Linked DNA regions of Xenopus tropicalis. The protein of the gene in region 1 binds, or shares a complex with, the protein of each later gene. Links are inferred from orthologs where the notes say so. Each region holds a gene or a part of one and is shown on either strand. Other genes may lie near its edges. The genes, in order: disp1 and shh.

The links.
Region 2: the proteins of disp1 (region 1) and shh are in contact, whole or in part, in a cryo-EM structure (PDB 7E2I), measured with the Homo sapiens proteins. The link is inferred for Xenopus tropicalis from reciprocal best matches to the Homo sapiens genes DISP1 and SHH. Residues at the interface, in NP_001356523.1 of Homo sapiens: Lys242, Thr244, Gly245, Tyr246, Lys247, Ala248, Glu260, His265, Arg299, Phe336, Gly337, Asp338, Leu339, Cys340, Gln341, Arg342, Thr343, Glu459, Arg899, His904, Asp906; in NP_000184.1 of Homo sapiens: Pro49, Asn50, Val51, Thr55, Leu56, Gly57, Ala58, Arg68, Glu71, Phe73, Lys74, Leu76, Thr77, Pro78, Tyr80, Pro82, Arg96, Leu97, Gln100, Lys186.

What each region holds. Positions count from the first base shown.
Region 1 is NC_030681.2:9,554,929-9,558,845, reverse strand, and holds the start of disp1 (protein dispatched homolog 1), read left to right. Parts: upstream 1-1,387; 5' UTR 1,388-1,457; intron 1,458-1,504; exon of another isoform or gene 1,505-1,645; intron 1,646-3,917. UniProt on the Homo sapiens protein: Functions in hedgehog (Hh) signaling. Regulates the release and extracellular accumulation of cholesterol-modified hedgehog proteins and is hence required for effective production of the Hh signal. Synergizes with SCUBE2 to cause an increase in SHH secretion.
Region 2 is NC_030682.2:17,020,951-17,024,867, reverse strand, and holds the start of shh (sonic hedgehog protein), read left to right. Parts: upstream 1-1,558; 5' UTR 1,559-1,836; coding exon 1,837-2,136; intron 2,137-3,917.

The DNA.
Region 1 (3,917 bases):
TAAGACTGTATTTGTCAGCAACTACAACATTCCGCCACTAGATGTCGCTGCAGGACAGCATTTTAGCTGTTGAACATTGGTGTTTGTAGTAATAGCGGCACCAGCGTACCTGATACTCAGGGTTGTCAGCAACTACAACGTTCGCCACTAGATGTCGCTGTAAGACTGTATTTCTCAGCAACAACAAACATTCCGCCACTAGATGTCGCTGCAGGACAGCATTTTAGCTGTTCAACATTGCAGTTTGTTGTAATAGCGACACCAGCGTACCTGATACTCAGGGTTGGCAGGTTGGCGGTGTTTCCCCCGAATTGGGCTACTAATTTAAAGCCTAGGTGGGTTCCCAAAGTACAAACCCGCCAAGGTACAGATTTGGGCTAGTTTTTGGAGCCTTGGGGGATTTGTAGTTAGGAAACTAGCCAAAGTTCTTTCCCCCTAGTGTGCCTGTCCCACTGCATGCTGGGTAATGTAGTTTGTAGCTAACAATTAGCCTATAGCTAGGATTAATATAAAACTACAATACCCAGCATGCAATGGGACAGTATAGACAGAGGCTCTGTTTTGTATTCTATTTTGCTCATTACTTCTATTTTTTGTAGAAATGTTTTCCATGGCGCATATTGGGCTACTTTGGCTAGTTTTGGGCTATTTTAGAACTGACTTTGGCTGGTTTTGAAAAGTACCCTGCATTCAGCTATAGATACCCGGGTGTATACATAATGCCAGGGTGCCCGCAGTGCCTGCCAATAGCAGCAGTTATATAGGATACAGGCCCCACCCCCCCAATATAAATTGGCAGGTAAAGTGATGACCTCATGGGCTCAGTGGGCCCAGCAGCATTCACTGGACTGGATTGCACTGTGTAGCCAGTTAGGGGCAACCTGCTCATTCATTGGGCCGACCCGTTCTACCAAAGCCAAATACACAGCCTGTTGTTCATACATCCAGCCGGGGGGCGGCGCTCCCACTCCCACACTGACTCCAGCCAGTAACCTATAATTATCGTTCAGTCGGTACAAGCGGTCACTTCTGTTATTATCAGCTGGGACAGCCATTTCCACATAGACCAATATGTAATAGCGCCCCCTAATGCCAAACACACGATACGGCGGATCTGTTTCTCACAAATAAATTTGGACTTTTATTAAACCAACGCGATAGCGCACCGCCAGCCACAACATGGCGCCCAGCCAGCCAAGTGGCTGGCATATCGCTGACTGGGGGCCATGTTGTGGCTGGCGGTGCGCTATCGTGTTGGTTTAACTAAAGTTCAAGTCGGAAGTTGCTATTCAGCCAATGGGATAACTCCGATGCCCCCGGGGCGTGGTTTCCTGCACAACACATGACATGACAACACAAGGGCGGTGCTTTCGCACACAGAGCGGAGAGGAACGCGTGGCGGTTGCCGTTGGTTACGCAGTTTTCTGGCGCGCTTAGGGGGCCAATGGGAGGGGCCGGTGAGTCAGTGGGTGGGACTTGAGAGTGAGTGGGAGGAGCCTGTGAGTTAGTGGCGGCGCTCGGGTCTCGCGTGAGTGCCGGGGGGGGCAGAGTGAGTGAGTGAGTGAGTGAGTGAGTGGGTGAGTGCGGGACCGAGTGCCCCGAGTGGGAGCGGAACAGGAGGGAGGAGCGGGCCCGGCGGCTCATGGTAAGTGCCTCCTCCTTATTGTGTGCCGGGCTCTTACCCACAGTTCCCTGGGAGGGGCCCCAGTACCGGCCTGGCATTCACTTATCTCCCCACACGGGTTCTTTCATTGCTTTCCGCCTCCCTGATTGTAGCTTTACTTTTTGTCATATCATCTCCCGCCCTTAGTTTGTCTTTCAGCTGTGTCCCCTTCATCTTGCCCTCAGCTTGCCTGGTGTCCCCCCCCCCTCAGCTTGCCTGGTGCCCCCCCTCAGCTTGCCTGGTGTCCCCCCCCCCTCAGCTTGCCTGGTGCCCCCCCTCAGCTTGCCTGGTGTCCCCCCCCCCTCAGCTTGCCTGGTGTCCCCCCCCCCCTCAGCTTGCCTGGTGCCCCCCCTCAGCTTGCCTGGTGTCCCCCCCCCCTCAGCTTGCCTGGTGTCCCCCCCCCTCAGCTTGCCTGGTGCCCCCCTCAGCTTGCCTGGTGCCCCCCCTCAGCTTGCCTGGTGCCCCCCCTCAGCTTGCCTGGTGTCCCCCCCCCCCTCAGCTTGCCTGGTGCCCCCCCTCAGCTTGCCTGGTGTCCCCCCCCCCTCAGCTTGCCTGGTGTCCCCCCCCCCCTCAGCTTGCCTGGTGTCCCCCCCCCTCAGCTTGCCTGGTGCCCCCCTCAGCTTGCCTGGTGTCCCCCCCCCTCAGCTTGCCTGGTGTCCCCCCCCCCCTCAGCTTGCCTGGTGTCCCCCCCCCCTCAGCTTGCCTGGTGCCCCCCTCAGCTTGCCTGGTGCCCCCCCTCAGCTTGCCTGGTGCCCCCCTCAGCTTGCCTGGTGTCCCCCCCCCCTCAGCTTGCCTGGTGTCCCCCCCCCCTCAGCTTGCCTGGTGCCCCCCCTCAGCTTGCCTGGTGTCCCCCCCCCTCAGCTTGCCTGGTGTCCCCCCCCCCCTCAGCTTGCCTGGTGTCCCCCCCCCCTCAGCTTGCCTGGTGCCCCCCTCAGCTTGCCTGGTGCCCCCCCTCAGCTTGCCTGGTGCCCCCCTCAGCTTGCCTGGTGTCCCCCCTCAGCTTGCCTGGTGCCCCCCCCTCAGCTTGCCTGGTGCCCCCCCTCAGCTTGCCTGGTGCCCCCCCTCAGCTTGCCTGGTGTCCCCCCTCAGCTTGCCTGGTGCCCCCCCCTCAGCTTGCCTGGTGCCCCCCTCAGCTTGCCTGGTGCCCCCCCCTCAGCTTGCCTGGTGCCCCCCCTCAGCTTGCCTGGTGCCCCCCTCAGCTTGCCTGGTGCCCCCCTCAGCTTGCCTGGTGCCCCCTCAGCTTGCCTGGTGCCCCCCCCTCAGCTTTCCCATAGCTTGCCTGGTGCCCCCCCTCAGCTTGCCTGGTGCCCCCCCTCAGCTTGCCTGGTGCCCCCCCTCAGCTTGCCTGGTGCCCCGCCTCAGCTTGCCTGGTGCCCCCCCTCAGCTTTCCCGTAGCTTGCCTGGTGTCCCCCCTCAGCTTTCCCGTAGCTTGCCTGGTGTCCCCCCTCAGCTGGCCTGGTGTCCCCCCTCAGCTTGCCTGGTGCCCCCCCTCAGCTTGCCTGGTGCCCCCCCTCAGCTTGCCTGGTGCCCCCCTCAGCTTTCCCGTAGCTTGCCTGGTGTCCCCCCTCAGCTTTCCCGTAGCTTGCCTGGTGTCCCCCCCTCAGCTTTCCCGTAGCTTGCCTGGTGTCCCCCCCATCAGCTTGCCTTTCAGCGCTGTCCCCCCCCCCCATCAGCTTGCCTTTCAGTGCTGTCCCCCCCCCCATCAGCTTGCCTTTCAGCGCTGTCCCCCCCCCCCCATCAGCTTGCCTTTCAGCGCTGTCCCCCCCCCCCATCAGCTTGCCTTTCAGTGCTGTCCCCCCCCCTCCAGCTTGCCTTTCAGCGGTGTCCCCCCTCAGTTTGCCTTTCAGAGATGTGCCATAATCACTCCTTGTTGCATTGCCAAATACAAAACAGTAATTCATATTCCCAGCAACAGGCTAAGGCTGATGTCAGACGTGGCGTATTCTCGGGAAACAGAAAAACGCTTGCCGAGAATACGCCCCGCGTAATGCAAAGTCTCGTGTTTTTATGCGTATTTCGCTACATGTGCCTGCGCCCCAGCGTATCTCATTCATTCGGGTGCAGGCACAGGTAGGGCACATTTACAGTAGTGGGATATATACTCTGTAAGCGGTTTTCTGCTTGCCAGGAATACGCCACGTCTGACATCAGCCTTATGTAGTGCAGAGCAGGATGGCGTGGGTGTATTTGGGCCAGTAGTGGCAGTAGGTGGCTAGTGTGGCACTGATCAGCATGCCTGCGCTCTCTCCCTGTG
Region 2 (3,917 bases), on another chromosome or scaffold:
ATCCTTCTATCATCTATCGCTATCTAGCAATCTCCCTATCATTTATGTATCAATATCACGAATGTATGTATCTATCAGCTATACACCTTGCAGCTAGTAATCTCCCTGTGTGTCTGTATTCTAACAGTAAGGTTGTCTGTAAATCTGGGATCTGTTGCTCTTTTCATGCACATATCTATATCATTTATATCTTTCTATCTATCTATCTATCTATCTATCTATCTATCATCTATCTATCTATCTATCTATCTATATATCATATATATGTCTGTCTGTCTATCTATCTATCTATCTATCTATATCACCTATCATCTATTTTTCATGTATGTATTCATCTAGCAAACTATCTATCTTTCTATCATCTGGCAAAATCCTATATCCTTCGATGTTTCTCTATCATCTGTTTGCATAATAGCTGAAGTTCTGGTTATCTCTCTGTTTCTATCTCTGTATCTCTATGTGTTATCTTTTTGGGTGTCTATATATGTCCTATCGGTGGTTCTATGTGCAAATTATATACTTTGTGTCCTTTATCACTCTGTTATCTATCTATCTGTCTATCTATTTATCTATCTATCCACCATCTATCTATAATCTATCTATCTGTCTATCATCTATCTATCTATCTATCTATCTATCTATCTATCTATCTATCATCAATCTATCTATCTATCTATCTATCTATCATCTATCTATCTATCTATCTATCATCTATCTATCTGTCTGTCCATCTATCCATTATCTATCTATCCATCATCGATCCTATCATGTAGAGAGAGAGAGATAGATAGATGATAGATGATAGATAGATAGATAGATAGATAGACAGATGGATATATAGATATAGATAGATCATATATAGATAGATGATAGATAGATAGATGATTGATAGATAGATAGATAGATAGATGATAGATAGATAGATAGATAGATAGATAGATAGATAGATAGATAGATGATAGATAGATATTGGTAATGTTACATATATCTATATGTATATATAGTATACACCATCAGGCACTTATATACCTGTAGATACATCTAAGGAAATACCCATTTGAGTTATTCTCTCTATACACGTATTTGTCTATGTACATGCATTCAAGGTCTAGTAGAATATGCTCAGGGGGTATTCTGTGTGTGCATGTATATATGTATATATGCCTGTGTGTGTGTCTGTGTGTTTGTATGTACAAAAACAGTGGCAGAGGTGTGTAGAAACAAAGAGAAAGAAAGAGCAAAGAGACAGATACACAGAGATAGAGAGACAGAGTTGTCAGTAGGATACATGGGGTTCCATAGGAGATATAGATCTGCAAACAGATAATTCTGTAAGTGACACTGTGGAAGCCTTTATTATCCCTGCTGCTGACAACTCTGTCATTTTGCCAAAAAAAAAAAAAAGTTTCAGTCTGTAACGCCTCCCCCCCCCTCCCAGCCCTCACCCATGAGACAATCCAACCTTGCCACTTGATGAGCTTTTCAAGGGTTAATCCAGACAGCTCTTGTCTGGCCCCAGCCAATCAGAGGCGGGCTGGGCTCGCTATAATATAGCTCTAAAGGCAGAGGCTCCTCTCACAGGCGGCTGCAGCCCTGCTTGCGCTTATTGCAATCGCAGCTTCTCATTTGCGCTTTAATTGCTGTGTCGCCTCTAAACCCCGATGTGTTCTGCTAGCGGGGACCTGCACACTGGGCTTTCTACACCTGCCTTGCTAGGGATCGGTGGCTAGTGGGGCCAGCCGGGAGGTACAAGGACACCCCAGTGCTCCAGCCAGTAGGGAGGCTGCAGCTCCACATCCTCCGAGCCTTTGATGTAATTGGCTTCGCTCGGACGAGATGCTGGTTGTGACTCGAATTCTGCTGCTGGGCTTCATCTGTACTCTGGTGGCCCCCCCTGGGCTGGCATGTGGACCTGGCAGAGGCATTGGCAAAAGGAGGCACCCTAAAAAACTCACCCCTTTAGCCTACAAGCAGTTCATCCCCAACGTGGCTGAGAAGACCCTGGGGGCCAGTGGTCGATACGAAGGAAAGATTACAAGGAACTCGGATCGATTTAAAGAGTTAACCCCCAATTATAACCCTGATATTATTTTTAAAGACGAGGAGAACACCGGAGCAGACCGACTCATGACTCAGGTACGGCCATACGTGGGGGGGTCGTGTAGGAAACCTATGGGGGGGGGGGTGGCTACACCTCTCAGGTGGTAAAGATACATTGATGATGGGTTTCTCTGTAACTGTCATTCTTACATTCGGGGGATGGCAGATACACTAGTTACTTCTCAGGTGGTTACCATATATTGATGACTGTAGTTGCCATTCTTACACCTCATTCAACCTGTTTCAACTCAGATCCATTTCTTCTGCCCCCATTGGCTTTAAAATACATTAGGACCCATGAATCAGGACTAAGCTATATATATATAGAAAGAGAACGAGAGAAGAAAATATATATATATATACACACACTAAATATTTCATTCATTCATTTGCTTACACGTCCCTTGGTCCCCTGGTTTAGCCAGTCCCCAGCCTTTAGCCCATACAAATGACCAGCTAAATCTCAATCGACCCCCCTGCACCCTGTCCCTTGTGTAAATCCCCCTTGTGGCACCCACACTGATCTCCAGCAAGGTGTGAGTAGAATGGGCAATGGGTGAGGGTATGTATGGGTGCCCACCGGTACCTTTGTCTGGAAGGGCTGCTGCACATTACATCATTGCTGATTAAATGGGATCTCCAGCTGATAGAGAGAGATCTGTTGGTTGGAAGCAGGAGCTGCTGGATAGAGTTGCAGAGTTTGTGCGACTGAGTGCGGCTGAGTGACAGGGAGGGAGGGGGCACATATATAGGTCAGGCTGATTCCCTGCACTTGCAATGTCCCAGATGTGTGGAGATACAGTATGGCAGCCAGGCGTGAAACCTCTAGCACAGGATCTATCTGGATATACCCCTGGCTCTATACTGCCGGGAGACTGTTACCCCTTAAGGGGGCACCTGAATCCTGCCAGGGGCTCTGTTGGCACAACCCCTCACCCTTGTCCTGGCCACACACCCATGCCTGGGAGGAATGGAAAGGCTATCAGCTCAGATGTCTATAGCCTTGGGTTAGTGTGTTCCTTAGGTATAGATACAGTGAAATAAATGTACCCTGGTATTTACTATCAGCCATATGTAACATTACTGATATATAGGCACTAGCTGTAGTTACATGATAGACAGAGAAAGCTAGAAGATATATGATAGATAGGTGATGATGATGATAGATATAGATAGATAGATAGATAGATAGATAGATAGATAGATAGATGATAGATAGATAGATAGATAGATAGATAGATAGATGATAGATAGATAGATAGATAGATAGATAGATGATAGATAGATAGATAAATGATAGATAGATGATAGATAGATAGATAGATAGATAGATAGATAGATTATAGATAGATAGATAGATAGATAGATGATAGATCTAGCGATAAAGAGACTGAGATGGATACATATATTGAGAATAGTAAATGCGCTAATATACACATATATATATATATATATATATATATATATATATATATATATATATACCGATACATGCTGGGCTGATGTGTATGGCAGATACAGGCAGTAGTACACACGGATCTATACAGATACAGACACATGAGGGTATACAGTATATACAGTATAAAGCTGTCAGGCAGTTACATACCGATATACACATATCTGTACAACCGGAGGGCAGCCGGGAGCCCCGGAGAGAGGCGATGAGCCCAGGGTACAGCTCCCTCCCGTCCCACTCAGGCTCATCCCTTATCTGCCCGGACCCATCAGCCTCTCACTTTGCTTCTATCGATCGGGCCGGTTGGGCTTTCAGCCTGTAGCCCCCTGAGCCGCGCTAATGGCCAATGCAGCTCCGTGTA